7 linked regions of the Coturnix japonica genome follow. The protein of the gene in region 4 binds, or shares a complex with, the protein of the main gene of each other region. Links are inferred from orthologs where the notes say so. Each region holds a gene or a part of one and is shown on either strand. Other genes may lie near its edges.

The links.
Region 1: DRC3 (region 4) and IQCG share a complex: the UniProt entries of both Homo sapiens proteins name them as parts of the nexin-dynein regulatory complex. The link is inferred for Coturnix japonica from reciprocal best matches to the Homo sapiens genes DRC3 and DRC9.
Region 2: DRC3 (region 4) and IQCD share a complex: the UniProt entries of both Homo sapiens proteins name them as parts of the nexin-dynein regulatory complex. The link is inferred for Coturnix japonica from reciprocal best matches to the Homo sapiens genes DRC3 and DRC10.
Region 3: DRC3 (region 4) and TCTE1 share a complex: the UniProt entries of both Homo sapiens proteins name them as parts of the nexin-dynein regulatory complex. The link is inferred for Coturnix japonica from reciprocal best matches to the Homo sapiens genes DRC3 and DRC5.
Region 5: DRC3 (region 4) and FBXL13 share a complex: the UniProt entries of both Homo sapiens proteins name them as parts of the nexin-dynein regulatory complex. The link is inferred for Coturnix japonica from reciprocal best matches to the Homo sapiens genes DRC3 and FBXL13.
Region 6: DRC3 (region 4) and EFCAB2 share a complex: the UniProt entries of both Homo sapiens proteins name them as parts of the nexin-dynein regulatory complex. The link is inferred for Coturnix japonica from reciprocal best matches to the Homo sapiens genes DRC3 and DRC8.
Region 7: DRC3 (region 4) and GAS8 share a complex: the UniProt entries of both Homo sapiens proteins name them as parts of the nexin-dynein regulatory complex. The link is inferred for Coturnix japonica from reciprocal best matches to the Homo sapiens genes DRC3 and DRC4.

Annotation. Positions count from the first base shown.
Region 1 is NC_029524.1:13,171,189-13,175,092, forward strand, and holds part of IQCG (dynein regulatory complex protein 9), read right to left. Parts: intron 3,870-3,904; coding exon 3,625-3,869; intron 3,316-3,624; coding exon 3,187-3,315; intron 1,721-3,186; coding exon 1,639-1,720; intron 1-1,638. UniProt on the Homo sapiens protein: Component of the nexin-dynein regulatory complex (N-DRC), a key regulator of ciliary/flagellar motility which maintains the alignment and integrity of the distal axoneme and regulates microtubule sliding in motile axonemes.
Region 2 is NC_029530.1:9,594,579-9,598,996, forward strand, and holds the start of IQCD (dynein regulatory complex protein 10), read right to left. Parts: upstream 2,822-4,418; 5' UTR 2,170-2,821; coding exon 1,549-2,169; intron 454-1,548; coding exon 220-453; intron 1-219. UniProt on the Homo sapiens protein: Component of the nexin-dynein regulatory complex (N-DRC), a key regulator of ciliary/flagellar motility which maintains the alignment and integrity of the distal axoneme and regulates microtubule sliding in motile axonemes.
Region 3 is NC_029518.1:27,141,577-27,146,186, forward strand, and holds the start of TCTE1 (dynein regulatory complex subunit 5), read left to right. Parts: upstream 1-1,521; 5' UTR 1,522-4,610. Other genes in the region: AARS2 (alanine--tRNA ligase, mitochondrial), read left to right, coding at 101-184, 293-403, 777-941. UniProt on the Homo sapiens protein: Component of the nexin-dynein regulatory complex (N-DRC) a key regulator of ciliary/flagellar motility which maintains the alignment and integrity of the distal axoneme and regulates microtubule sliding in motile axonemes.
Region 4 is NC_029529.1:4,996,535-5,000,438, reverse strand, and holds part of DRC3 (dynein regulatory complex subunit 3), read right to left. Parts: exon of another isoform or gene 3,475-3,904; coding exon of another isoform or gene 3,396-3,474; intron 2,912-3,395; coding exon 2,745-2,911; intron 2,154-2,744; coding exon 2,007-2,153; intron 847-2,006; coding exon 727-846; intron 1-726. UniProt on the Homo sapiens protein: Component of the nexin-dynein regulatory complex (N-DRC) a key regulator of ciliary/flagellar motility which maintains the alignment and integrity of the distal axoneme and regulates microtubule sliding in motile axonemes.
Region 5 is NC_029516.1:11,600,215-11,604,891, forward strand, and holds the start of FBXL13 (dynein regulatory complex subunit 6), read right to left. Parts: upstream 3,032-4,677; 5' UTR 2,999-3,031; coding exon 2,924-2,998; coding exon of another isoform or gene 2,896-2,923; intron 105-2,895; coding exon 1-104. Other genes in the region: ARMC10 (armadillo repeat-containing protein 10), read left to right, coding at 3,324-3,489, 4,087-4,235. UniProt on the Homo sapiens protein: Substrate-recognition component of the SCF (SKP1-CUL1-F-box protein)-type E3 ubiquitin ligase complex.
Region 6 is NC_029518.1:31,176,227-31,180,702, forward strand, and holds the start of EFCAB2 (dynein regulatory complex protein 8), read right to left. Parts: upstream 3,109-4,476; 5' UTR 2,782-3,108; coding exon 2,757-2,781; intron 2,558-2,756; exon of another isoform or gene 2,536-2,557; intron 1-2,535. UniProt on the Homo sapiens protein: Component of the nexin-dynein regulatory complex (N-DRC), a key regulator of ciliary/flagellar motility which maintains the alignment and integrity of the distal axoneme and regulates microtubule sliding in motile axonemes.
Region 7 is NC_029526.1:16,811,094-16,813,845, reverse strand, and holds part of GAS8 (dynein regulatory complex subunit 4), read right to left. Parts: intron 2,450-2,752; coding exon 2,244-2,449; intron 1,963-2,243; coding exon 1,795-1,962; intron 1,435-1,794; coding exon 1,348-1,434; intron 425-1,347; coding exon 215-424; intron 1-214. UniProt on the Homo sapiens protein: Component of the nexin-dynein regulatory complex (N-DRC), a key regulator of ciliary/flagellar motility which maintains the alignment and integrity of the distal axoneme and regulates microtubule sliding in motile axonemes.

The sequences.
Region 1 (3,904 bases), on a different chromosome or scaffold from region 4:
AACCAGACTGTTCATCTCAGCAGCTTTTGAGACATCCGTGTTTTCCAAAAGGAAACAAAAGAAGTGGAAACGTTTAGCAGTTCATTTGTGTTCTATTAGGAAGAAAAAAATGAGCTGAGCCAGCTAATACAGCCTTAATTAGCATCTCATTAAGGCTGAAAATACACACAAGCAACATGCGTGAAGCAAAAACCATGTTTTTCTGGTTCCATGATGAGATTTGCTTGGTTTTGTGTTCCCAGCCACTGGACTGGAGACAACCATGTAGGCTTTTGTCTACAGGTCTGTGTATTATTCCTGTTCAGAATAGTCCAAAATCAGCAAGCTGTATTTCTGCTCCTAATTAGTTGGCGAGGTGACAAATAATTGTGTGTCTGTAAAATTGCCTATGGGGAAATCCCATATGAAGCAAATAGAAATTATTCTCCCTTGGGAGACTGAGTGAGACACCGATATTTTTGGCACAGGAGGAAAGCAGTACTTGAAAGTCGTCTCGTCTTTGATTTGTTATCAAAGCTGAAGCTATAAGGAAGCCCAGAAAATGACTTTTAAGCTGGAAACATAAAACCAGAATCCCAGATGAGCGCAGATCCCACTTGATGAGGCAGAAAGCAAGAATCACATTAGCAGAAGGTACTAAAACACACAGAGAGGAGCATGTCTTCAGCGTGGGAGCTACATGTTTGTATGACTTAGAGCTAGGAGAGCTGCAAGGCAGGACAAAGTGCCAGATTCTTTTCTTTCAAGCCTTATATAGCTCTGACCTGGCCTTTCTTCTGCTTGTATCTCATCACACACTCTTCTTCCTCACCTCAGCAGAAACAGGTTAAGCTTGCATGTTTCTGCACCGAGCTGTGTGCTTTTTTTAAGCATGCATGACCATTGAGTCTGAGCTGTCTGGTGAGCATCACGGTGACCAGGGATATGCCATTTAATTGATCTGCACTTGTGCAGCAAGTCTGATGTGTCCAGAATGCCCCAGATTTACTGTGTGTGCACAGACAATTCACACGCTGCAGACAGAAAGGCTGAAGCTTTCCACACAGATAAAGTCAATGGGGTGTGTGTAGTAACATTGATCTGCCCTTGCACAGGGCTCGTGTATTTGGGATTTTGTTGTATGTGGAAGCCTAGGAAATAGATGCAAATTACAATATTTTCCCCTGACAAAACTGCAGGTAGAAAAATAGCGTGTCCTTGTGCCAATTCTGACACTTTATTTCTTAATCCCTCACTGTCAGTCTTTCTTCTGTGCTAGGTGTCATGTCTGCATCATTAAGTATGACCGAACCTCAGATCCTGCTGTCTGCAGCTCATCTCTTCCTTCCTGGCTGCAGATGTAGCAGCACTCACTCATGTCCTTGCTTTGCAGTGTTTCTGAGGTGTTCTGACTTCCTCACAGCCTTTCACAATTATAAGCACTTTGAGTTTCTGCTTGAATAGCACTGAACAGCATTCTTAAATTCATCAATAACTACATTCAGAATGTAAGTCTGTGCTGCAGTTATACTATGTTCTTAAATGATGGATTGCTACATATGCTGTGTCCTCTCATCTGAGCACTAGTTCCTGGGCAGCAGGAGCAAGCTTGCTAACACACTTCCCCCTGGCATGATGCCTGGTGTTAAGTAATCTCACCTGAAGTTCTATTTCAGTTTCTTTCTTGACATCTTGCAGCTGTTTCTGGAGTGACTTTATCTCCTTCTTTCCTTCCTCTTCCCTGAAGGAAAATGGGAGAATACAGTCACTTGAATGCATCTAAAAAAACACCCCATGAGCTGTGTACGTAGATAGGGAGTTTTCAGATTCTTTATACACTGCTGCACCTAGTGAACGCTGCCCCAATTAACCTGCTCATCCAGCACCTTTGTTACAGCTGAACTAAAAGAAGTGAGAAGTTTGCCCTGCTTCAGTGCAGCGTAAAAGCTTGCAGCTGCTCCCAGTGTCTGAGGAGCAGAAAAGGTATTTGTGTCTTCACTCTGAAGTTCAGTGTTGAAGGCAGCACGTCTCCAGATCAGAGGGATCTCTCAACAAAGTTAGTGACTTGGTAAGTAAATCCTGAAGGAAGAGATGTATGGATTGAATAGGGAGGATGGGAATGAAAGGGAAAGTGAACCAAAAACAGGGAGAGCCAGGCCAAAACCTACAGGGGAGTTTGACAGTTTAAAGCAAAAAGGATGAGATAATGTTGTAGGTCTCATTATTTTACTTCACTTTGAGGGCTTTTCCAAGCTTTTATGCTTATTGTTTGATCTAAAGCCAGTAAGAAGAGTTGCTGCCTGAGGCTTTGTACCCTACCCCCACTTTACAGGCAAACATGCATTTCATTTTTTAGGTACTTAGCTGGGCAACTCTGCTACAGGAGCTCCTGATAAGGAGTCTCAGCCTTACTGCAGACTGCTCTCAGACTGGTATATTGACACAAAACCAGACAAGTATATGGTATATTTAAATACAGATCAAGTTCATTCAATGAAAAGAATGTGCAGTAGAACAGATAGCACAGTGCTTAGATATGGTTGATATAATGGAATAAAAAAATGATTAAAATTTGTATGCCCCCTTTCTAACTCCAGTGTTGAACAGGGATTCCACAAGCAACAGCTGCTTTCATTTTTTGCTTTCTGACCCTTCCTTGGAGAAACAATAAATCCCTTGGTTTTAGATGCTGGAAGTGGTGGGCTTCACGTTCAAAAGACAATTGCCTCTGCCACCATCTGTGCTAACCCTGCATTGGAAAAAGGGAGCACATTAGCATTTGGGTCAAAGCAGATTCTCCTGGGCATCGTATAACCTCAAGTCCGTATGTTGCTGACCTTGGTTTGAGCAGATTATTTGCTACTCTGGCTTCCTCTGGGGACAAGGAGTTGAAGGTCAGAAAACTCCTCCATCACATTATGTTTTAATTGATATGGAGCAGAGTTTGCATCAATGCAGACACTGGTGTCCGCTGTGGTCCAAGCTCAGGCAATTCCCAAGTCAGATTAGTATTATTACAGTCAGTTATTTTCCTCTCCAAGGGCAAATGCAATTTGTGAAGTAGTCAGGATAATTCAAGCTGAAAAGGGATCCCTTCCATATCTTGATGTAGAGTTTGTTTTTGTTTTCCTTTTACATTGTATAATGAGGGAAAATGAGCTTTGGCTCTAGGTCACTAATCAGAAAAGTACAAAGCACAACTCTGACCTGATGAGGATGTCATTCAAGTTGCTTTTCTTTGCTTTCTCTCTCCCATTAGCTTCTATTAGGCTATCAAATGTTCCCGATTCCTCCATCTTCTTCATAGTGGCTGTAATTACATCACTCACATACTGCCTACCAGGGAGAAAAGGAACACAACAGTAATGTATAGGTGTACACTGATAACACGGAGTCTGGCACCTTTATCAATTATTGCCCTACTGCCATAGGGCTTCTGTGTACCCTACAGAATAACTGAGATCATGAGATCTCATGGCAAGGCCATGGTGCTCCCCTTAGATATAGCCATTCTTAGATATAGCCACAACTGGGGAACACTAGCAGTGGGAGGATGAGAAGCCTGTATTTTGCTTTGCAGAGGTAAAGTGAGAACTTTACAGCTCTGAGCATCCTGCACAGGCATCACACTTGTGCTTCACTTACCTGTCAGCCTGAATTTTTCTGAGATATTCTGCAGATGGAGCATTGGGTTTCGTGGCCCTTTTGGAAGGATGTTGGGCTCGTTTTGGATCCGCAGAGTTCCCCAGCTGCTGCTTCTGTTCAGTGCTTTTCAGAGACTTCGAGGTAACAGTTTCCCCACTCCCTTGCTTTGCAGGGGGAAGCTCTTGATACTTAATGTCCTGCACATTCTGTGTGTCTGTGATTTCTTTCATTTCCTGGCTGTTGATCTAAAAGAGAGTAAGAGAAACCTGCTTGCACATTG
Region 2 (4,418 bases), on a different chromosome or scaffold from region 4:
GGAACTTCCAGAGCTAGGTCAGGGAACAAGAGGAGGAACTGTGAGCAGGCGACTTCCCCAGCAGCACTGCAGGCTTCCTTTCTGCTGAAATCAGCAGAGCACGAGGACAGCACAGGTATATTCTGACAAACAGCGTGTGCATCCTGCCAGGAAATGGTAGGAACAAAATAGACACTTGCAGCCACACCAAGCAGCTCTACAACAGTTCTGACCATTTACCTTCCTGAGAGCCAGCTCTGATACTCGATGCTCCAGGATCAGCTTATTGAGCTGTTCCTCCAGCTGCTGAATGTCCTGCTGTAGCCTGGCACACTTAGCCTGGGAAGCTCGCAGCTCCTCTTTCTGCTGTTTTTCACCTTCCAACTTGATCTGCAGGAGGTTGTCCTTGCTGCATTCATCTACAGTTTCCATGCTGTTCTTGAGATCTTTGATCATATTGTCCTTGTTCTGGATCTAGACACAGAAAACCAGAAGGAAATGTCAATAGGGTGTGCAGGTGAAGCATAAAGTGGTCAGGAGGAAAAAGACACAGTCGCAAAGGTGGAGGTGATCTAAGAACAGGGACCTGGCACGACCAGATGAGGGAACAGAGTCAGATTTATGCAAGGTGCTTGAACCTGAGAATAAAGCCATAGAATGACCAGGCTGTACTGAGACTCACTGACACTGCAGGGTAAAGAAGCCGGCCTTGTCTCAAGAGGAGCCAAGATCATCCCTTTGGCTTCAGGTGAGGCTTGGATTGACTGCCTGGAGGACACAGCTCAGAGGGGCTGCCAGCAAGAGAGATCCTCAGCTGGGGGCAGTGAAACACACTTGTTATGCACTGGTAAGAAAGTGAACGTAAAAATCTCATGTGTCTCAATTCACAGACCTCATCTCCATCAGAACCATTCGGTGCAATGAGCACGAGACAAAACCTTCCCCTCTGAGCCCTCCTGCAGAAAGAAGACAAGCACACACATAAAACAAGGGATGGCTTGTCAGGAATCCAGGACTTGAATTCTGGCTCAGCTCATGGACTCACAAAAAGAACCTGGGAAATGCCCATTAGCTAATCCATCCAGCTGCCTTCACTGGAAAAGAAATGGTGTCATCACACATTCATTATAGATCTCCAAGGTAGCCAGTATTGGAGTTGGAAGTCTCACAAATGTTAGTTTTAAGAGCGAAGGTAGAGCTGGCATGAAAAACTGATTTTAATCAGAACAATCTCTCCCTGGAATGACTGTTCATCATGTCAGCAGCAGTGAATGGAGCCTCTCCCTGGCAGCTGGCACGGCAGCCCTGCTAAAATACTACTGCAGTCATTTGTGCCTGTCCTGCAGCTCCTTTTTAAGCTCAATAACTTGCTCCATTGAAGTTGGCTGGTGAGAACAGGTTCAAAACATGCCAAGTTTCAACACGAAGCATTCAAGAAACATTTCCAAATTCTATTTAGAATCCGATTTTGAAATCATTTCTGGAATCTCCCCTTTAGGACCTGTCAGAAAGGGCTTGTTTTTCAGCTTTTGCTTCAGCGACCCTTTGTCACCAAGCATTCTCATATACCTCCTCATCTCGGGTCCTGATTGCTGCTGCCAGTTCTGCCTGCAAAGCTGTGATGGTTTCAGTGTTCTTGTTGATCCGGAGGGAGACGTCTTCCACCAGCTGAACTGTTTCTTCCTCTTCCTTGGGACTAATCAGGAGTCGCTCAAGCATAAAATTCCTGAACTCCCTGAAGGCTTTGATAAATGCTTCAGTTGCTGGCTCTCTTGCCCAGACTTCATATTTCAGAGCCTTACAAAGTGAAGGGACGGCCAAGAAGAGCCTGAGGATATTCCTAACAGAACATTTCAGTTGTTGTTCCAGCAAATGGAGAGCAACCCTTTGCTCCTCCTGTTTTGAGATGTCCCCTTCTTCAGCAGCAACAAGCAGCAGCTCCATTTGGTCTGAAAGCTTCTTGTACTCCATCAGGCTGGTTGTGATCTCAGGTCCCAGCAGGTCAGCAAACCTGTCCAGAGAGCCGATAATAAGTGGGATCAAGGAGCTCAGCTCCAACTTGGCGATGGTCTCATCCAAGACAGATAGGATTCTCTCTGTCTCAAAGCAATTAGGTTTCAACCGGCGTGGATCTAAGCCCTTCATGGAGTCCACTGTGGTCATCGCCTTCTCTGCAGCCTCTGTTCCCATTATCAGGATCTTGTTTCTTTCCTTCGTGTCCTGCACTGATACTCAGAGCACAGCTGGGCTCCCTGCTGCCACACTTAAACACTTAGGAGTGAATTGTTTTCACGTCTAGAAGGGACACAGCATCTCCTACACGGGGCAAGGCCCACAGTGAGAGACCACTGTTGCTTCTGCTGCAAAATCCTCTTTAGTTTTGATCTCTAAAAGGAAAATGTGAGGAGAATATGAGAGAAACAGCGTCCTTAGGGTGCTGGGGGGGGTGTCATATCACATGCTGTCAAGCACCCAGGGCCATGAGCACCCCTGTGGGGAGGGGGGACATGAGGGGCTCCTGGCCTTGAAGCCGGTGCGGTGAGAGCTCCCAGCTCCTAAGCAGCAGCTGTGGCAGATCAGGCTGTATCTCTGCAGTGCTCCAAGGCTGTGGTTGGGGGCTCGCAGCGCCGTGCGGCCTCCAGCCGAAGGAAGGCCGCTATGGAGCCGGACCGTGCTGCCACCGGAGTCCCCCTGTTGCTAGGATTCCGCTTGTTGCGGGCTCTTTCCCGACACACATCACGACTCGAACCACTCAGCGCCTTCGCTGTCTTGACGGGCAGCGCTATTACTCAATAGAAAACGAGGAGAGGCCTTGACGTAGCTGTGTGGCCATCTTAGGGGCGGTGGCACTCGGAGTGCCATAGAAAGCAAAGGGTGCCCCGGGTCCTTGTGTCCCTGCAGCCTGTTTGGTGAAGGAAGGGATTAATTGTACACACAGCTCCGGCCAGATGCTGTCTGCTCGCTGTTACAGGTGGGAGCTGGGTCCTGGGCTGGGTGTCAATGCTGGCTGATGTTGGAATGTATCCTGCCCTTGGCTCCAGCCTCAGCCACCAGCACCCTCTGCTGTTGGATGCAGGCAGCAGAACTGCATGGAGGTGTCAGGGCATTGAGATCAGAGCATGTGATTTTGATCAGCGTCTCCCAGGCTCTGATGAGCAGAAACCCTTGCAGCAAACTCTGCACAACCAGGTCTGGGAATCAGCCAGACCCAGCGTGCCAAAGGATGCAACACAAGCACTATTTGATCACACATGTGTCTAGATCAAACTCAGAAGCTCACAAAATGACAATTTCTCCCAGTGTTTTCCAACAAGGAAGACCCAGTGCAAGCCACCCCAGTCTAACAACCTCCAGGCTCCTCCAAAGCTGTGCTGCATTACTTGCTTGTTGCCACTTCCTTGTTTTTCAGCACACTTCTTAGATCCACTCCATCCAGTTGATGTAGGCAAACACCAGCCCATCTCCAATGCCAGCATGAAAGAAGCAATTTACTGTCTGTCCTGTGTGTGCCTTAAGTTACCAATCCTTTTCCCAGTGAAGGATCCATTTACACCCTCGGACTCTCTGATCCAAGCAGCCATGACACACGTTTTGCATCCTTTCCAAAAAGGAAAGACACAAGCCCCAAAATATCTTCTATTGGCTTTACATTACTTTTCTATTGCCTCAGAGGAAAGCAATCCTTTGGAAGGGTTTTTTTCCCCTTTACACCTGCGCTGCTACCCAGACAGTGCCCCCACACCACATCAGCTTCATGTATATAAAAGGAGGAACACCCGACAGCAAGGGACGGTGTTGTTTATTGTTATAGCAGGCTGGCTTTCAGGAAGGATGAGCTGAAAATCCAAGCACGTAGATGGAAAACGCAGCTTTCAGTGCAGCACAGCCTGCAGGAGGAGCTCTCTAGATGTTCTTCCCAATCCCTTCTCACTCAGCAGCGTTGTGCTGAGTCCCTGTGCTCGCAGCCTGGCCGGCAGCAGCAGGGGCAGACGACTTTCCACCTCTGCGGCTGATCACCTCCAGGGATTTCTCAAACCTTTCGGCTGCTTTCTTAAACCGTTCTATTTTTATCTCTTGTTCTTGCACAAATTGCTGCATCAGCTTTTGGTGGTGACGTTCAATCTTCTTCTTGTCCTCTTCCATGTGCTTTATCTTTAAGAAAGCAAATGTAAGACCTTATACCTGCTATCCTAACTTCAAGATAAAGATCTCTGAAGTGATGCTTGTCTCTGTGAAAGAAGGCGCCCTGCCAGGTCCCTCCCTGCCATGAAGGCAACCTCAAAGCAAAGAAGCTTCAAAATCTGTAAGTATCACTCAGCCAAACACTGAAACCATAGAATCATAGGGTGATTATGGTCGAAAACGACCTCCAAGATCACCAAGTCCAATGCCAACCCACCATGCTTGCTAACCGTGTCCTTCGTTGCCTCATTTCCACT
Region 3 (4,610 bases), on a different chromosome or scaffold from region 4:
CACTTGCATTCCCTGTATACGTGTGTTGCAACTTATATACCCCTCCCGGTCACCCTGTGCCACCTGTAGCCCTTCAAGTGCTGTGTGTTTCTTCCTCCAGGCTGAAGAGAAGGCACAAAGCCTGCTAGCAAAACACTGCAACCAACCTGTCATTATTGATACTGTCCCAGCAGACTCCCTGTCTGTAAGTAAAGCACATTATTTGTTGGCCCAGCAATACTTAAGATGCTGGATGCAGCCAATGGTAGCTACGCAGCAGTCTCCTGACTCTGCCTTTTCCTTCCTCTCTTAGATCCTAATGAAGGTAGTGAACCAGCTTTGTGACAAGTCACCTGGCACATCAGTCCTGCTGCTCAGCCCTCAGGATTCTGGGGAGGTGCTCTGTGCCTGTCAGGTGTCCAAGGTAAGCAGAACCCTGGCAGAATCCCAGGGAAGCCTTCCTGCAGAGGAGGACTGGGTACACTACTCACTAGGTCCCAGCTGAATTTTTTCTTGGGTTTCTACCCAGTGTCACTGATGAGTTATGTTGAGGAATGACCCAAGATGACTGTACTGGGGCCAGATAATCTTTCAGTTTTTGCTGGGCACCAATATCCCTGGGTCATCCAAGACATGTTTGCCCAGTGGTAGGATGTAGAGCTAACACGTAAGCTCAGTCTCCTCTCAGTCATGTCTTCCCCAGGTAGCGAGGGTCCAGGCTGGGTGAGGGGAGAAAGATGTTCCTTCTTCCATGCTGCAGAGTGCTCCACAGACCAAAGTGTGTGTCTCTTCCCCAGAATTGCCTCCCCATGTTCTCCGCTGCTGACTGGGCCGTGGCTGTCTGTACACAGATGGAAGGCAAGGCAGGAGGTTCTCCTGTTGTCGCTAAGGGCAGTGGAAATGCCAAGGGCATGCAGGGAGCCCTGACTACTGCACTGGAATTTGCTCAGAGTAAACTCTGAAATGTGTGTGATGCTTTGGTGGCAGGACAGCTGTAAGCTGTGTGGATACTTGATGCAGAGTGCACGTTATACTGTGCAGAAGGTTTGACAATTCTCACAGTGAGCCCTGCTGCAACCACTGCATTGGAGCACTTGGTGTCTGGCCATCAGGGCTGAGCAGTGTCTGTTCCTGAAAGCACTGACAGAGCAACGCTGTATGTTCTCATCATGGGTATATGGTGATTGAGCCTCAGAAGGCACCAGCTTCTGGAACAGTGCAGTTCTTGCCACAAGACCAGCACTGGGAGGTTCTGAGAACATGACTGTCGTATCCCAAAGTTATTAAAGGATGGAGAGTGTTTGATCCCTCTAATGTTATGTTGGTGTTTTGTTTTTCTTCATATCCGCACCTTTTTCCCTGTAAGCCCAGAAAGCTTATATATGCTGTAAAAATAAATATATGCTGTAGTCTAAGCAGTCCCATCTTGCTAAAGGATACACCAGTCCCTGATAAAAATGCTACAGTAACTTAGAAATGGGAAGAGAAGTTCTTGCCTGTGTGCACAACCTTTTGCCTAGCCTATGCAATGGTTAGTATTGTAGTCAGGCCTTTTTGTTAAAGCACAAAGGGAACAGAATCATCCTGACCTCCACCTCTTTGCTCTGAGTGCACATTCTTACACATTTCTTACTTCTGCTCCTTTTTAAATCCTTTCCTCTCAGGTTGCTTCCTCAGACTTCCATTGTTAGAATGACGCCTGGAGTTCTTGGCCAGAAAACCTTTGTGTTACAAACTGGCCTAAATAGAGAGGTCATGGGTGGTAGCTGATAGGGAGGTGCAACTGGGTAGTGATACAGAAAGGCTTCACCCTGTGAGCAAGAACAGCAACCTGGCACAGATGAATTTCAGCAGCAGATAGGGCTGCCTGGTGTGGTGGAATTAGGAGGCAATAGCTACATGCTTTAGGGGGTGGGAAGAACAGTGATGTTAGTGGGTGAGGAGCAGAAAGAGGGTAGTTATGTTAGGATGTTTGATGCTATGGAGGAAGGGTACCCCCACAGTGGTGAGGCTGATGAGCTAGGAAGTGAATTTTTAGCAGATTTGGTAGACTGATACAATAAGCTTCTGGTAGCTGAGAGCAGACTGTTAGGTGGCCGAGGTAGGCAGGGTTCTAACAGTGCTGCATGGCTGGAACAGAACTGAGCTTCACGTGCATGACCCAGCAATAACCCTTTGGTCAGAGGGATACAGCAGTGCACTTGCACACAGCTGCTACTCTCAGCTTAGGTTTGTAGGGCAAGCTCAGCAGGCTGATATATTTGCCTGTTGCTCAGTTGTCACATAAATAAGGCAAAGTAAAGAAGATATAGTGGGAAATGACTGCTGTGAGCACGGCCTCCTCTCCTCAATGAACAACAGTTGACCCAGGGGAGAAAGGTGGTGGATTTAATTGTGTTTAGAGGATGAGGGATTTCCTTCCTCATCTCAGCAGCTGTCCAGTCCCAATTCTAAGACTTAGTGTCACTCCTACACGTCTTTTCTTAGTACCTGTGGCTGTGTAAAGAGCAGGAGCTCGCACTTGGTTAAGTGCCTGATATTGATATGAGGTTGGTGGTGCTCCATACTATCTTGCGTTTCACCATAGTGCTGACAGCCCCTACATCTGCAGCAAGAGGATAGACCTTCTCCTCCATTAATCATTACTTCCATCCAGGGAGTTTAAGGTAGAGCTTTTAGTAAAGGAGACAGCGAGCCGAGGTTCCTGGACATCAGGATGACTGGGACAGTTCACGCCATCGGTTAAAAATACTGTTAATGCCTGTTGTGGAACAGCTGCTGTGTTTCATCCCAGCCACAGCAGTACCAGGTATGGGGAAGGGAAAGGATGCTCTGTGTTACTGGGAAAATGCTTTTCTTGATTGCTTCCTCATTCATAAAAGCTGCTGCTAGAGATGATGCCTCCTCTTGGTACTGGAGAGTAGGTGTGTGAGGAGGAGGAGAGGCTGAGCTGCTTCTGCATCATGCTCCAAAAGCAGAGCCTGAGCTTGCCAATAGCAACCTTATGGATTTAACCTCCCTTTGTGCTTTTTTTGTTGTTTAATTTCAACTTTAAAACTACTGGCACCTTGTAAATTGTTGCCTCACCCCTTGATGTGCAGGGATCCGTGTGCTGACCTTCAAGGTAATGTCTCTGCAGGCAGAGAAAGTGCAAGTCAAGCCCCCACCAGTGTTCACCTGGCCAGCCAATGGCTGCTGCAGCAGTGACTTCCAGAGCAGTGGTGGTGTCCTCAGGGGCTTTTTGAAGGACTCCTCTCCACTGCAGGATCTGATGGGCTCTCAGCACTGGGGAAGGAGCCTGCTGAGATGAGTGGGCAGCAGTGACACAGCTTCATGGCTTCCTAGCTCTGCTATCCCCCTCCTGTATTCTATGGGAAGAGTGGCTCCCCAGATACAAGGTGGCAGAGCCAATCCCACCATGAGAAATAAACCCTGGGTGTCCTGAGCAGAGGCACTAAGGAAAAGTTTCCTCTTTCTGAGCCTGCAGGGATTTAGATGGGTCATCAACAAGGTTGCAGCACAACCAAGTTGTGATCTTGCTGTAACTCTGTAGCACAAAACCTGCTATGTAACCGAAAGAGAGAAAGCATCTCATCCTACCAAAGAGCAGCTGTGTGGAGGCACCGGTTTGGTAGCATGGGCTGCTGCAGTAGAAATGCTGGTTTCTGAGATGTGGCTGTGCTGGACCATCACTGATCCTAAAAGAATAAATTCCATGCTATTCTCCTAAATCCCAGTGTACAGGACTACATCCTCTTCCTGCCATTTTTATTCCACAAGACAACACGCATCCAATGCTACGGACATAGCCACCATCTTTCTGTATTTTAGCAGTAGGTAGAGCAGTGCTCAGCTAGGAGAGCTGGAGGGGATGAAACATGAGTTTTAAATATAGATCTCTCGCCAAAATAGCAGCTTGCATTCCCTTACTAGAGATCTAAGGTGCAAGCAGTTCTCTGTGCACGCGTTGCAACTCCAAACAGCACGGGCTGCATGCACACACACACACACAGGACAGTGAAAAGCAGGAACTAGTTAATAAGTGATGAGTTTTTTTTTGCTGTGAACAGGTGCTGTCAAGTAGGCAACTGCTCTGTAAGTCCAGATGGACCCCCAAGGTCCTTGAAGGGCGCATGTGAGTGCCGGCCCGAATTCCAGGCAGCTACCTGACTTTGTGTGAAGGACCAACCACACACATTAGGCCTTGCCTAGCTGGAAGAGCTGCACAGATGGGATGAGAGCTGGGGCTCTGCAGGCTACATAACCCTCTAGCCTAGCAGCCATGGGTCCCTGTCCTGCTCTCTGATAGAGCAGCAGACCCAGCACAGGGCTGGGGTTGCAGGGTAGGGAGCCCTAGATGGATTGGGAGTATCTCCAAAGAGAGCCTGCTAGGGAGGGCATCAGGAGTACCTGAAAGGCAGCCTGCAGGGAGAGATAGGACAAGTCACTCAGGGTTTGCTGAGGAGAGGAGCTGGCAGCAGAACAGTGAGCACAGGCTGGGTTTCTCCAGCTGCATGTGTAATCCCACGAGGGCCATCCCCAGCATGTGTCAGGGACATCCCCAGGACTCCTGGCATTGCTGCAGGCCTGTGTTTTGAACAGTTCATCGAGCCAACAGGAAGAGCCAAGTT
Region 4 (3,904 bases):
GGTTCACATGCGGATTTACTGCTAGAACTCTCTAGCCTAAGGACAGAAAACACTGTTTTATCTTACATAAAGCATTTTCACATACAACCATATGTTACAAGGCTATTCAGCCTCACAGATAAAGAATGAGTGGACTTGGGGGAGGGTCAGAAGGAAGAGCTGCAGGTGTCTTTCCCGTCACTTAACCTCCTCCTGCTCTTCAGCCAGCCTGGTCTTCCGGCACGCTGGAGCACAAAGCCAGATTGTGGCTGAAATCACCATTCTCCTTGGCCTGGTTTTCAGGCTGCTCAGAGAACTACAGTGATCTCAAAGCCCTGAACAGTTTAACCATAAAACTAATAAAAAGCGTCAACTTGGTGTGAAGGAGAAAAGAAGTCACTGCACCATGAAAATGCTAACAGTTCCCTCAGATGTGTAATTTTCTTAATCTCACATTAAGCTGATAAGATCCTTGGGCACGATTTACTATTTAGCTTCTAAGGGTCTATATCTGCAGCCTGATTGTTCAGCCAAAAGAAATATGTTCCCTCAAATCATATGTATTCCACAGCAGTTCCTGTTTTCATTCAAAATAAGAGATTCAAAGATCAGAGACTAATCCTAGCCTTAGTGTTAGCACAGCCAGTGTTAACCTCTCATTAGAGCTTCAAGCATCTGAAGGAGAAGTCAATATCTGCTGCACTTCTTCCTCCCCAGACAGCACACAACCAGCCAAAGAACAAGTACCTTGTAGTACTCCAGCTCCTTCTGCTGTGCCTGCTTTTCCTCCAGCTGAGCCAGGGCCTCGGCTTCCTCATTTTCCAGCAGGTCAGTGAGGTATTGGTAATTTGAAATGGCAACTTCTCGCTGAGGAAAGCAAAGAAACATTATTAGACTACCCAACAGTGCCCAACAAATCTAGGTGTAAGCATTCCATCTTTCCAGAAGGTGTATCTGAATGATATCTGCATCCCCATTTCTTTGTGGTCCTTCGATTAAACTACTTCTAAAGTTTCTAATCTATTCCTCTCCCCATTTTTGTTGTCATATTACTCTGCCTCTGCACCCAGTGTATCCAATTCAGCCTCAAGCAGTGTTTAATCCCCCACTTTCTTCATCTTTAGTGTTGTTTTTCTGATTGTTTTAGCAGGAGGCCCTGTTTTGACTTCGAATTTGAGCTCTGAATGAATTGGTTACTGAGTTTATCAATTTCTGGGGAGAAGATGGTTCTTCTGAGGGGATGGCAATATAGAAGCAGGGGCAAGAACCTAATTAGCTCACAATCGAAGCTTGACAAATTTAAGCATGCAATTAAATGACATACTATCTGTATGAGTCAGGGACTGGACTCCATGACCTGGAAAGCCCTTCCAGTCCTATACTAAGAGTAATGTACACTCCAAGAACAGCTCCTGCTCTGTGCCAAGCAAGCTTAAAATGAAACATATTCTTTGATTATTAAGAAAAAATGAGCCTTGGGATCAGAAAGCAGCCCCATGGGTTACCAGTGCTGATGTACAGTCTTGCTTTCAAAATCAGGAAAGGAAAGTGCATTTGGATGGCACTTGCTTGCCTGATTAACGTGTCAGTCTACTACTGCAACAAATAGCTCAGTGAGCAGCAGGACCACCAAGCCTGCTTTCCTCTGAATTCATGTCTCAAGATTGATCTCCTCTGAGATTCTCTCTCTGCGATTCTCTGATCTCTAAGTAGTCTTGCACTCACACTGCAGCATCTCTGTGGCAATATTAAGCAGGCTCCTCTCCCACACACAGCTGCTGACTTTTGCAAAACCTGTGAAGGTACAATACCTTTGACATCTCTACCTCTGTCAAATTTGACAGAATTTGGCCTACAGGTTCAAAGCTGTTAGGTGGAGAAGGAACAAATAGTGTGTGTTTCCATAGGTCTAATTTCTCCAGGGAATCAGCCCATCATGATAGAACATTGTGAGCATACCAACAAATCCAGTGCTCTGTAAGGAACTCATGTCCGATTTCACAAGAAGGATATGCAGAAATACTTACTGTGGTGTCAGGAATGAGTTTAAAGTCTAAGTACACCAAGCCTGGAAGGTGAGCAACAACAAACAGCATATACTGCTCTTCATCACAGAAAGGGTTCCCAGTGAGATTCAATGAGTGTAAGTTCTTAAACCTCCTGAGATAGACCACCTGTTTGGAAGGGAAAGAGATGCTGTGCTTACCAGTGCTGTGGAAACAGCTGGGTTTGAAATTCATTGCTCATTAATTGCACAATTATGTTGCGGTACATATCGTGCTTAGCTGCCAAACACAGGCAAAGCTAAATTAGAAGTTTCTGATGCTTTGGGGTAAGAAAATACCTAAATTTACATCATGACTATGTAAATGATGGGAATGGAGAGATAGCCTTTAGTTGGGTGGTGGACAAATCAGGGCATTAGGCTGTTAAACTACCCTCAAAAAGAACAGCAAATATAGCCTGAACTCCACTCTCTATTTTCCTCATATGTAACTATTTATTTCTCTCATGGGAACCAATAGGAATTTTGCCACAGATGACAGCTGTAACAAAATTAAGCCCTCATGAGTGAATAACCTATAAGTGAAATAGCTGAAGTAAGCACTTAACAGCTGGATAGTTTACCTAAACCATAATTTAGGCTTCAGAGGAAATGAAATCGTAAGGAAAATTTTCTCCTCAAAGGGAAGCAGTGGTAAACATCAGATCTGGAATATCTGATCCTTTGATAGGGAGCAATTCCAAAGCCAGAGAGCACTCACATTTTCCAGAGTAGTCAGGTTATTCTTCCCAATGGAGAAAACCTGTAGCTCACGCAATGTGTCCATGTTCTCAATTTTAGATATTCTGTTGTTGTAGAGGCTTAGGTCCTGCAGTTTGACAAGGTTATCCAGGCCCTCAATTACTTCAATGTTGTTGAAGGACAAGTCTGGGGAAGAGTTTAGAAATCAGAAGTTTTATAAGCAAAAATTAAGTAATTTCTAGCAGAACGCCCCAATTCAGATCTTTTATTTAGCCTAAGTCTTGATTTAGAAGTTTATACACAGTATTTTCCTCAGGGGTGCTCAATGTCCCACATGAAAGGCTCAGCATGAAATCACCATTTTCTGGATCAGGAAACAATGTACACATCTCCTCCAAACACGTATATGAGAGGAATGGCTGAAGACATTCCATGCAGGGTCCACAACCTCAAAATGAGTTCTGCCTTAAGAGGAAACCCAAACTACAAGAAAAGAGGTGGCCTGAAAAAGGAGCATTTTGGTGACAAATTTGGGGTTCTCTGCATTGTTTCTTGCAGACTCTTGCCTGCTGCACTACAGCTTACCATCATGGTGACTCCCCCAGAAGCAAATGTCAGCTCAATGCTCACCACCACCCTGTTGTTAATGAAGATATGCAAAGGCACATACTCACTGTAGCTATTTCACTCGTCCATATTTCTTCATCCCATCCTGCCAAAACATCTAGGCTAACACCTACATTCATCATTAGTAAGGGCAGTGTTTACCCTCAGGTTGGAGCTGAGTGCTTCAGGATTCCACAGACAGCTGATGTGGCTACCAGTCATGGGTGTGACCCCAGCCCCTGGGCAGCTAACACGTATACACAGCAGCTGCTGAACCACTAGAACCTCTGGGCAAACTGCAATGCCTGAGCGTGCTTCAAAAAACTGCTCGCACAGTGGTGATCTGCTGTGATTCACAAGTGCATTAGTCATCCGTGCAGCGGAACAGTGCAGACAACAGAGCGGAAGAACTCATTTAGACATTTTGAGATGTGCTTATGAGCCGAAGCCTTGCATGCTATTTTCAGCAGCAGACAAGGATATATTTACGCTGCCACCCAATTAGGTGGCTGCAGTTACCAGAGAATGCTGTAAGATATGAATCTGGAGCAGCAGCCACTGATATGCCCAGCA
Region 5 (4,677 bases), on a different chromosome or scaffold from region 4:
CATAAAACAGCATCTGTTCCCTTTTCCATTATTTCTCTGAGCTTTTCCTGTAAAAATAGAAGTGGGTCTTCTGGACGCATAACAATTACACCACAAAGTAGAGCCTGAAAAAGACACTTCAAATTAATGCCTTTGTGGTAACAGTAAAGGATCATCTAAATGTGAAACCATTAAAATAAACTCAAGATTACAAGTTACTTTAAAAATATTGTAAAATAAGAGCAATTTTTTTATCACTTATATTTAATTTCATTTATATCTTTAATAGAATGTTGCATACATTAGAATTTTCAGTTGCCAGTCTTCAAAGAATCAGGTTTAGGACAGTAATTAAATACATGGTATCTCCACAAATATTCCTACTAGGAATTCCATTTTTAATATGCATCCAAGAAAGAGCATCCATAAGACAAGATAATTTTATTAATCTAATGAAAAACACAATTTAAAGCAAGATTAATTCTGTGCTGCATAGAGTATGTTGAATTAGGAAGCATGACCAGATACCAATCCTGTAACCAATACAAGATACTGATGATAAGATTTACGAATTTGCATTACATTTTAGCAGTGCTGCAGAATAACTGATGAGCAGTTTTTCTCACTTGTGTTCAGATGTCTTCATCTAAAATCTATAGCTCATTTACTTTTGGATTGTGAGTTCACCTACAGAACTTCTAAATTATATTGATATTTAAAAGCATACGGGTAAACTCTGGTTATTTAAATTAATATTATAAACTAGAAAGCTTCTATTTCCAGGTAAAGATTTCAGAACATGACTATGCATCTTTAATGAGATACTAATTCACATTGAAGCAAAAGATGTTATCCTGGGACTTACTCTCTTGTTTATAGTTCCCTCTGCTGGTTACCAATAAAGTAGCTCTTAACAGCACAAAAGCAGCATCTGAACTTTTAGATTTTCTTCCAGCCCTGACCTTTAAAAACCTGCTTTTCTTTGTCTCAACCCACTTCCCCCTACAGCTGTTCTCCATGGTGCAGCTGGATGGTGCTAACTCCCTATGTCTAATTTCTGCCATTCAGAGTCTGGGCTGACCTCTGGGAGTTCATCGCTCAGATTCTGACTGCAACTCACTATCATAGAATTATAGACTGACTTGAGTTGGAAGAGACCCCAAGGATCATCAGGTTCCAAATCCCTGCCACTTATCTTTATTTTTTCCAAACCATTTATTTATACATATGCATCCTATGGGTAAAAATACTTCATTTTCCAACATCCATGTCGATTTCCTCATGTTATTACTATGAAACAATGGACCTGTATAAATAACAAAATTTTTTTTTAAATAAATATAAAAGAAAGAATTATCTGAAGCAACTTCTTCATATGTGCTGGATCAACTCAATATCTTAATGTAATGGCTTTCTCACTGTGCTGACTCAAATGATTTGTAACTGCAGAGCAGCGTCAGGAGAGAGATCACTAACAGTTATAACATAGAAGCACAGTAATGGAGATTTTTGGCCATGAGGATGTGCTGTTTCTTTACGTACCTACAAGACCACTACAATAAAGCAATGTAAAACAGTTTTTTAATGCACAGACAATGAAGGACAACTGTCTTCAGTTTACACACACTGAATATTTGGTAATACTTCTCAACCCACTACTTACAACTTTAACATAACGTTCTTAATACAAACACAAGTTTCTATGTATACCTTGATAGGGGATTATATTAAGAAAATGTTATGAATCTAACAGTAATGTTGTCATTCATGACAAAAACACCATTTTAATTAATACCTAAGCTTTTAAATAACTTTCCTCAGAAGCTCTCCTAAAGACAGGTTTCCCAAAGCCAAGCCTAACGCTGCTCAGCTACTCCCCCTCCTGGATCAATCCAGTATCTGTCTGCCATATGAATTCCAGTTACTGTATAAGGCTTCGTTTACGCTCTTTTCTTTTTCCCTTGGATGTGAACACAACAGCTTTCTTTCCCTTTCATATCCTGAAAGGTCTAAAACACAGAATATACACAACAGCCAGCAGGGTGACCTAAACACAGCCTTTGAGGGAGCCTATAAACAGGAGGGGAGCCAACTCTTTGAAAGGGTGGCTAACAGCAGGACAAGGGGAAATGGTTTTAAGCTGAATTAGGAAGATTTAGGTTGGATGTCAGGGAGAAGTTCTTTACAATGAGAGTGGTGAGGTGCTGGCACAGGCTGCCCTGAGAGGCTGTGGATGCCCCATCCCTGGAGGTGTTCAAGGCCAGGTTGGATGGGGCCTTGGGCAGCCTGGTCTAGTATTAAATTGGAGGTTGGTCTCCCTGCCTGGGGTTGGGACTGTTGGAGTTTCATGATCCTTGAGTCCCTTCCAATCTGGGCCATTTATTTCATTTTGCCTGATGTTTTATGGTTACCGATTAAAGTAAATCTGGATGAGATCTGAAAGAGAGAAATCACACAGGAATGAAAGAATCCTACGCAGCCGGGAATCCTGAGTTATTTGGACATGACTATTTGGGCACCAACTGTGTGTGGATCATGTCCAAACCACAACATAACCATAAATGACTTCAGCAAATGTCCACTGTAGAACTTCATATCCTTCTTAATTTTGCGAACATTGACATAGATGTTAATAGAACTCAGCTTCGCTTCGGTGTGCCTTAATACTGAGGCCAGTATCATTTATCTCCATACAAACCTCTCAAAGAAATAACAATGTAGGCATCATTGAGCACCAACACCTAAGAAACGTGAAAAGAAAAGGATGAAAGGATCTTATAGAGTGATTTTATAACTGGTTCTTTCCCTTAAGAAACAGACTGGGGAAGTATCCTGAAGCCCCCAGCCCGTCATGCTGTGGCACAGCCCCACTCAGCGCTGCACAGAAGCTCCTTTACTCCTGTCCCATCACTCCACCTGAGTCCGGCTGCTCGGCGGCCTTTACCTCGTACACCCGGATCAGGCCGTGCCGCCTGAGGTAGTCGCGGAGCTCGGGGCCGCCGCCGCGTGGGGCCGCCATGGCCGCAAGGCGTCGCGGTCTCGTAGCAACAGGCTGAGACGGAGGTGCTGCCCCGGACCTGCCCGCCCCGCCCCGCCCCTTCCAAACGCGTTGGTTCACCGTGAAAAAGTGAAGGCAGCGAGTAGCCCTTGGGGGTTGTTTGTGCTCGGAGAGGGACTGGGGAGGGAGTGTGGTGTATATCCAGCACTGTGCTTTGTTAAGATGTCGGTACTTTCACTTTGTTGTTGTAAAAATAAGCCGAAGGAAGAGCCGAGCCGCTGCCGCCCTGCACGGGCTCACAGGCCGGGCCGGAGCCGCAGCCCTCAGCACGGCGGGGCGGCGCCGGATGCTGCATCGGCTTCCGCGGGCGGTAAAGATGGACGAGCGGCCCGGCCTGAGAGCGGCCGTGCTGGGGGTCGTGCTCGGAGCCGGCGCCTATTACTGCTACTGCCGGTGGCACAGGGCGAAGGGACGAGCGGGGCGGCGGGGAGAGACTCGTGTGCCGCCCTCAGGTGAGGAGGGGCCGGTGAGGATGTGGAGTGTCCTTCTATGGAGATATTCAATACCCGGCTGGCCGCCTACCTGTGTGACATGGTGTAGGGAACCTGCTTTGGCAGGGGGGCTGGACTCGATGATCCCTAGAGGTCCCTTCCAACCCCTTTAATTCTGTGATCCTGTGAAACATAGAACACGTTCATGTTTGTGGCCAGCAAGTCGAGGGAGGTGATCCTCCCCCTCTGCTCTGCCCCGGTGAGGTCCCATCTGCAGTGTTGTGTCCAGTTCTGGGCTATGTGGTTCACAAAAAACATGGAACTAGTGGAGAGAGTCCAGTGGAAGGTCATGAAGTGGGGGCCTGGAGCACCTCCTGTAGGAGGAAAGGCTGAGAGCTGGGGAAGAGAAGGCTGGAGGGGGATCTCAGCGCTGTGTATAAATGTCTGAAGTACAGGAGTCGAGTCACTGGGGGTAAAGTCTTTTCAGTGGCATGCAGCAATAGAACGAGGGCAATGGGGAGAAACCAGCAGAATTGCTAAACTCAACTTGCTAAAAAAGCATTCACTGGTAACTAAGTGAAATATCTCAAACTTGGTGTTATTTAATTTTTTTAACAGTGAGGGAAGAAATTCCTCCATCACCCCACAGCATGGATGCAGATACTTTACAGAAGCTTATTCATTTGCTCAAGGCCACAGATGATCCATTAATTCAGGAGCAAGCTTTAATCACTCTCAGTAACAGTGCTGCCTTCTCTGTAAATCAAGTAAGTGTTGTTCTGTAGAAAACAACAGCATTTCGCTACCAGTCAGTATGGAAAATGAAGGGTGCTGTTTTGCTTAAGAGTGTCACAAGATTGAGAGCTGGGTTAACCCGTGTTCTAAATCTTGTGTTTTATGTTTATGCTTTAATTTCCTGCTAGTCCAAGGAACGCAATTAACCACCCTCACAAGATTTATCTGTGCTTCATGTTTGTATACATTAAATGTACTTAAACACTGTACAGTGTCCTGTATTTTCAAAGTGCTCTAAATATGTATCTTTTCTTGCCTTTGGTTTTATGATGTTAATTAAAGGGTTGAATTTGATACAAGTTAAATAATCTCAGGATCCAATCTGAAATCTACTGAAATATTTTAAAGTAGCTTTTATGTTTACAGAGCTATGTGCCATTTGCAGCAGCTTCCCTGCTGTCTGTCTCTCTTTGA
Region 6 (4,476 bases), on a different chromosome or scaffold from region 4:
CTCCCTCAGCCTCTCCTCATAGGGCTGATTTTCCAAGTGCTCCACAAGCCTCGTTGCCCTTATCTGGACCTGCTCTAGTACCTCCATGTATTTTTTGTACTGAGGTGCCCAAAACTGAACACAGTACTCGAGGTGAGGCCTCACCAATGCTGAGTACAGGGGCAGAATTCACCGAAACCTGGACAGGCTGGAGAGCTGGGCAGTAAGAAACCGGATGAGGTTTAACAAAAGCAAGTGTAGAGTCTTGCACCTAGGGAGAAATAATTGCATTCACCAGAACAGGTTGGGGGATGACCTGCTGGAGAGGAGCTCTGCTGAGAGGGACCTGGGTGTCCTGGTAGACGACAGTGGCCAAAAAGGTACATTAAAAAGAGCATGGCCAACAGGTCAAGGGAGGTGATCCTCCCCCTCTGCCCTGGTGAGGCCACATCTGAAGTACTGTGTCTGTATTGGGCTCCCCAGTACAAAAAAGACGGGGATCTCTTGGAAAGAGTTCAGCAGAGTTCATAAGGCTCTAGAGCAGAGGTAAAAACTCTTTCCCATCTCCACTAACAACCTTATTGTGAGTTTTTCACAAGTTGGGAAAAGGATCTGTGAGGACTAATGACATACTGCAGCAGTAAGTTAAATTCCCCAGAATCACTACTATTTACCAGAGAAAATCCTCATCAGAGAATGGCTATAAACCATCTCCTTAAGTCTTCACATCACAATCAGTTATGTTTCTGGAAGACCTTTGTTACCCAGAATCAGTCGTCCAGTTCTGTATGGGTATAAAGGTGTGCAACAGGAGCTCAGAATATTTCATCTACTTCCTTTTGGATTCAAATTCATGACTTATTAATTGTATTTTAAGTATGTGCTAACTAGCACAAAGAATACAGTGTGTATAAAACTCTCATACTGATCACATACACAGTATTACCATAATGATAAAGCCACACTGAACATTCTCTTTTATGTACTTCCATGTAATTTCTTAAATCCCAGCTGGAGAAAAATACGTCTTGTCTTCCATCTAGTTTTACTTCAGGCACTACTGGTCTGACATTTTACTTTCAGGTTCTAGTAACATCGGCACTGAGATCAGAGAGATGGAAACTTAGAAAATCTGACACGTTCTGTGAAATTATAAAGAAAGTACCTGAGAACAAATGGAAGAACAGACAGATGGAATTAAGTAGCAAAAAAGGGGAAAGAAACAGAACGATGGGAAGAAAGATACAGACAAATACACAAAAGAGAAAGATGAAGCAGTGTAATGTAATCAGATGGGAATAAAGAAAAAAAAATAATTAAATAACGTTGAAAGCACAAATGCAGGAATACAAATTCATGCATAAAACATACAGCTCCATATATCATGGGCATGATATTAGCACTCACACACATGCAAGATTTTATTCGCAATTATGTAAGCTAGAGGGTAACACATTATCAATGTCATGCAAAAGAGGCTGCAAGACTTGGCCTTACACTGTTTTTTCTTGTGTACATCCAGTATATCTGTTAAACATTAAGGTAAGCATTTTAACTTTGATGAAGACAAACTTGAAAATAATAGGACCTAAGGGAAACGTTTACCACAAAAGCAGGTGGAACTACAGTTCTACCAAGAACCAAGGGGAATACCCTAAAGACTAATTATTCGACAATAAAACTAATGCTGTTCTTCTCTTTGAGACACAACAAAGTAAAAGCTGCAGTTTGTGTTTATGTAAAATGCTTGTCAGAAGCACAATTGCTGCATGAATCCAGGATTTGAGGATTCTAATCAGCCCCCTAACTGCTACCTGCAGGAGGTCTAAGAGCAACTGACATGGAGATAAGCCATCTCCTCTTATGGGATGCTTCTGCACTTCGGTGAGACACTGAATATTAGTTTGCCTTGGTGATGAGACACCTCTATGAGGCATTAAGGAAATCATCTGCTCAATAAAAGTGTAGGATTCTCATGAGTGTCCAAAGGGAAGCTAGATGCCTTGTCTTCACACTATCCATGAGATACAAGTCATTGTCTTCTCCCTACAGGCAGGAAATCAAAGCCCAGCTTGCCACCTTCCTGTGATCTGTCAGGAAGGGCCAGGAATGGAATTCTTGACAGCACAGTTTCCCTCTAGCAGATAACTTGTGGTGGTCTCCTGGGAACAGCTCTTTACAGGATGATAAACTACCTCTAGTAATTAAAAAACAATCAACAAAAGGGTGTGTCTTCAGCAAGACGGCGCTTCAACTTCTTTAAAATTACATTCGAACTAAAAAAATGCATTAGAAGCTATTGATCAAGCAATCAGAAAAACTCCTCATTCAGCATTACCCACAACTTTTTGTTGTGGGTTTTTCACAGAAAATTGTGCTTTTACTCATTAATACGAAATAACTTATTAGTTACAGTGTTCTCAATCTGTGACTTATTACCACGTTCTCGTGTTTATTTACACAAAGGACGGCACTCAGAAGCGACACTGTTACGAGCTGCTCAGAGTGCACAACCTTCTGGAAACGACGCTGGGACACCCTTGCGGGAGGAGTTACCTCTCGCCTTTCAATCACACTTTCTGGCAGCGCTTCCTGAAGCAGAACACGCCTCCCTCTAAAAATAAGCCCCGGAGCCCCGAGAGTCAGCCGGGATCGCTTTTCCTTGGCGGAGGGCTGGCCCCGCCCCACGCCGTCACCCAAGGCTGGGCCCCTCGCTTCCCACTCCCAGGCGCGCTCCGTCCCGCAGGCCGCTGTGCAGGCCCCGTGCCCGGCCTTACCGTCACTGCTCACCGCCTGCGCCATGGCCGAGCCCCGAGCCGTCGCCGTGGCGACGCGGGGCGCAGCGGCCCGGCGGGCGCTCCCCTCCTTCCACCGCGGCCTCCCCTGGCCCCCAGCGCCAGGCCTGAGCTGGCAGCCCTCCGCCCTGGGAAGCAGTCACCGGGCCCGCTGAAATAAAAAGCATATAAAAGCTGAGTGAAGCAGTGCAGTGATTTTTTGAGTGCACTAACTACTGCACTGCGTGGTTTCAAGAGCAGTGAGTGACAGCCATAGTCCTGGGTGCTAATGCTCCAAAACATCCATCGCACCCAAACACGGATCCCAGGCATGGAGGCTGCAGCTGTAACCCACCACCCTCCCTCCCAGCTGGGACCAGTAATGCTTGGGGTGTCACTCCCTGTCATGGCAAAGTGACAGAACCCACCGCTGAAGACACACCTGGCACGGGTGGCATCGGCAGGCACAAGCACCACTGTCCTGGCAGGGAGACTTGGACGAGCCCCAGCAATCTGCTGGTTCACAGAAAAAAAAAAAGTCTTCCCAGCAATTGCAGAGATTTCTGCATCTGAGCTTCAGAAAGTGAAAGAACATTTTATTCTAAATATCGTCACTCTTGAAACAGCTAAAATATTCTCAGCGATATTAAATAAAACGCAGTTTAAATATAGCCGTGTATTTTAGCAGATGTACTTGCAATGCGCAGTTCTTCTGAACAAATGATTGTGGAAGTGGAGAAAATGCAAATATGAGCATACCAACAAGATGCAACCATATACTCATAGGAACTAATGTTTTAAGGAAATTCCTAGAACCAAAGCACTGTCTTCCCCGCAGTAGGCGCTATTTGTTTATACTGTTTATATTGTGCGTAGCTCAGAGTAAAGAGGGTATAATATAGGGTATAATATATACCCAACAGAGCGTACAGTGTTAGTCTCTTGGGAAAACAGCTGATTATGCTCTCTAACAAAGTTGATCCCTCCAAATGGTTACCTATAGACTTGAACAGTTTATTAAAGTAACTGAGTACTTCCAAGTATGTGTTTTGACTACATGGGTAATGTGGATTTGTTTCCTCTCAAGCAGATAACTGAAGTTTGAGTGATAACAGTGCAAAAGCCTAATCTAGAGAATGTAACAGTAACAGAAGGAAAGGCCATTATCTTTCACTGTGATGCAATCCCCTTTCTTGTTCCTTCAATGTCTCCAAACACAAAACCTTCGTCTTTGCTGGTTGTTGATCTGTTGTGGTAGATGTATTTGAAACTGAAGAACAAAATACATTGTTTGACAAACACAGAGCTTGCTTATTACTTCTCTCATCGTCTCAGCGTGAAATTTTATGTTCTTCAGTGTTGTGCCCAAGGATTAGATTCCCTGTGTCATTTTCCAGATCACCTGATTCATCACAGGACATGCAGAGCAATTCTACAAATGCTGATGTATTTATAAAAAATGAATGTTAGTTCAAAGTCTTCACAAGATTCCCCTAATGAATGCTTTAAAAACTGATTTTCCACTCATTCAGATTTTCATGCCCAGCCCATGCCCAAAATATGGACAACATTCATCTTTGAAATACATTTTGCTTGCTGTGGAAATTTGAGACTCTTGTATTTCTACAGCAGTTTTTGTGTAGATCTGAGCCATTGTGAACATGAAATAGTAAGAGTCATTTCACTCAGGCCACTTTATTTTATCATCTTCCCATCAATCTCA
Region 7 (2,752 bases), on a different chromosome or scaffold from region 4:
GCTGATGCTGGGGACTGGCCACACAGCCAGGTATGTAACAGTGCAGAGAGAGGACAGGGACTGTCTCCTGCCACACAACCAGGCTCTGCCCTTACGCTGCCCATAGACCTCAGAATTTGACGACGCTCACATCTCCAAGGTTTGCATTTTCCCCAGAGCAGCCTCTGCCCTTCAAGAGGGGGAAAGGAGAGGGCCCTGCACCAGTGCACAGTACCTCCAGCTTCTGTGAGACCAAGGAAAGGGCTCCTGGATCGAGTTTGGAGGCTGCAAAGACCTCGCTGAGCTCCACTTCCTTTTTCTCCAGGACATCGAGGAGTCCTTTCAGCTTGCGTTCCAGGAGCAGGTTCTTGAACCCAGTCTTCTGCTGTACTTCATGAATGGCTTTGGTGAACTTCTGGTAGAGCTCATCTCGCTCTGCCTGCACCTGCTCCAAAACATGGCACAGCTTTACACCATCCTCAGGACCCTTTGGGATATCTTGGCTTGCTGCAGCCCCCCCCACCCCAGCACTTCCTGAGCTCCAGAAGGGAGTAAATTGGCCTTCGCTGTCCTCCCACAGAAGCAGAGACCACGCTCTGCTCAGCCTGGCCTTGACTCCATCCTCCTCTATGCTCTGTCCCAAGGCACTATTTTGGACCACAGAGGGGCCCCAGCATGCAGGGGTCTCTCCTCCCATCCTTGCAGCTGGCAGGAGTTCCTGGCTTACAGCTAGTTAATAAGTGTCCTAATTAGAATCTCTCCTCCAAAGCCTATTTCTGACTGCACTGAATATGTTCCTGCCTTAATGATGGATTGTTAACGAGGCCTCAGATCAGTGTTCATATTCCTGGGGATTTCTACGAATTGCAAATGAGCTCTGTTCTGCCTCAATGCATTTATCTGGGTTAGCTGCAAGGGAGAGGCTCAGTCTGGGAGAACTCAGTCAACAGAATATTCCTTGAAGAGGCTGCACGACAAGCAAGGAAGTGACATCCACATGCTAGCAGAATGAGGGAAATACTGTCCCCATATCTCTCTCTGCTGTAGCAGAAGCCTCTCTATGCAGCTCCACTCCTGACCCAGTGCCACAGCCTCCCACCAGCAGGCCAGGAGGGGACCATCAGCACACGCATGATTGCTCAGTGAAGTACAAGGCTGAGCCTGTCTGCTGAGCACAGGAGACGCCAAAACTGTGATAAGCCTTGTTGGAAGTAGCAGCTAATGCGCCGCTCTGGATTAGAGATTTGGAAAGCTTCCAGCTCAGTACAGCACAAAACAGCCTCTGCAAAGTCCTAGTGCCTAAACCTCTATATGGGGACAGGGTTTGGAGAGAGAAACAGGATGGCCAGACCCACCTGCAGATCTCACCTTAGAGAACCGCTGCTCCAGCACTTCATGTTCCCATTGAAGGTCTTTCAGTTCCTTCTGGTTGATTTTCAGATGGGCTTTTGTGTTCTGCAAGTAGGAGGCAACAATTACAAGACTTCTCTGGGAGATGGGTGTTCTGTGTTCTGGCAAGGGGGAGAGCAACCAGCAGAAGAAATGGGGTTGAGAGAACACAAGCTACAGCCACACCAACACCCTTCCCTCTCTGCAGCAGGGTCTGCTCTTCTTTCTTGCTGCCAGAGTTCTGGAGTCCTGTCTGAGTTCTTACACGCATCCAAATAAGCTGAAAGGGACCCCAGTGCATTTGCCCAGCAGTCTGGCCGAAGAGCTCTCAGCCGAGCGGCAGAGGTCACTGCTGAGCAATGCCAGGAAACAGCCAAAGTGACCCAGGAAAGAATAGAAAAGGGCTCAGCAGGGCTGGCAGCTCACCATCAGAGCCTCCTTGTCCTTATCGTAGTGGGCCAACTTCTTCTGCAGCTCAAACACCAGCTCCTGGGCCTGCTGCAGGGTCTCCTTCAGTTGCTTGTTCTGAAGCAAGGCATCTGCCTTCTCCTTCTCCAGTTGAGTTTCTCTCTGCTTCGCCTCCTCCACCTGTTCCTGTTTTTGGGAACACAAGTGCTAGTTCCTATAGGCAGGGTCTGCCCAGCTCCTCACAGCTTCCCAAGTCCCAACACCCTCCCAGTGCTGGCCCAGCAAGCCACATCTCTCTGTGTACAAGAACTTTGCTCATGTAATGTCGTACAACTCCCAGGAAAACAGGAGTGCCAGGACTTCCACCAGGGAACTGGCCAGATCTGGGGCAAGTTACTGGACCAGCTCCCTGGTGACACTACACAACAGGGCTGCAGCAGCGGGGTCAGAGAGCAGGCAGGCATTACCTTCAGCAAGCTGACGAGCGCCAGGTTTTGGAAGGTGACATCTTCATGGTAGTTCTTGAAGTCATGGAAGGCTTTCTCATGGTTCTTCATCAGCTCACTGATCTGGTTGTTTTTCCTCTCCTCGACTTCATGGATCTCAGTCTTTCGGCGCAGGTCAAGCTGATCCCGCAGAGCTTGCATCTTCCTGTTGTACCTGGCCTCCATCTCTGGGGAAGTGCACAGGGGGCCGAATGAGACCCTCCCACAGAACCTAGGCTCTGTTAGCAAGCAGCAGCCCAACATGTGCCACTGCAGCACTGCTCAAAGACAAGATGCTTGTTAACAGCCCCACAGCAGCTGCCACCAGCACACGGAGCAGTTACGTTGGGACCATGGAGAGCAGAGCCCAGAAATAGCATCCTGGAAACAGGGCATGGAAACGCTCCAAGGCAGCCCGTGAGAACCTGATGCGTCCCCTGAGGAGAGCACTGGAGCCAGGACTTAAATCTGAAAGGACTCCTCCAGCCACC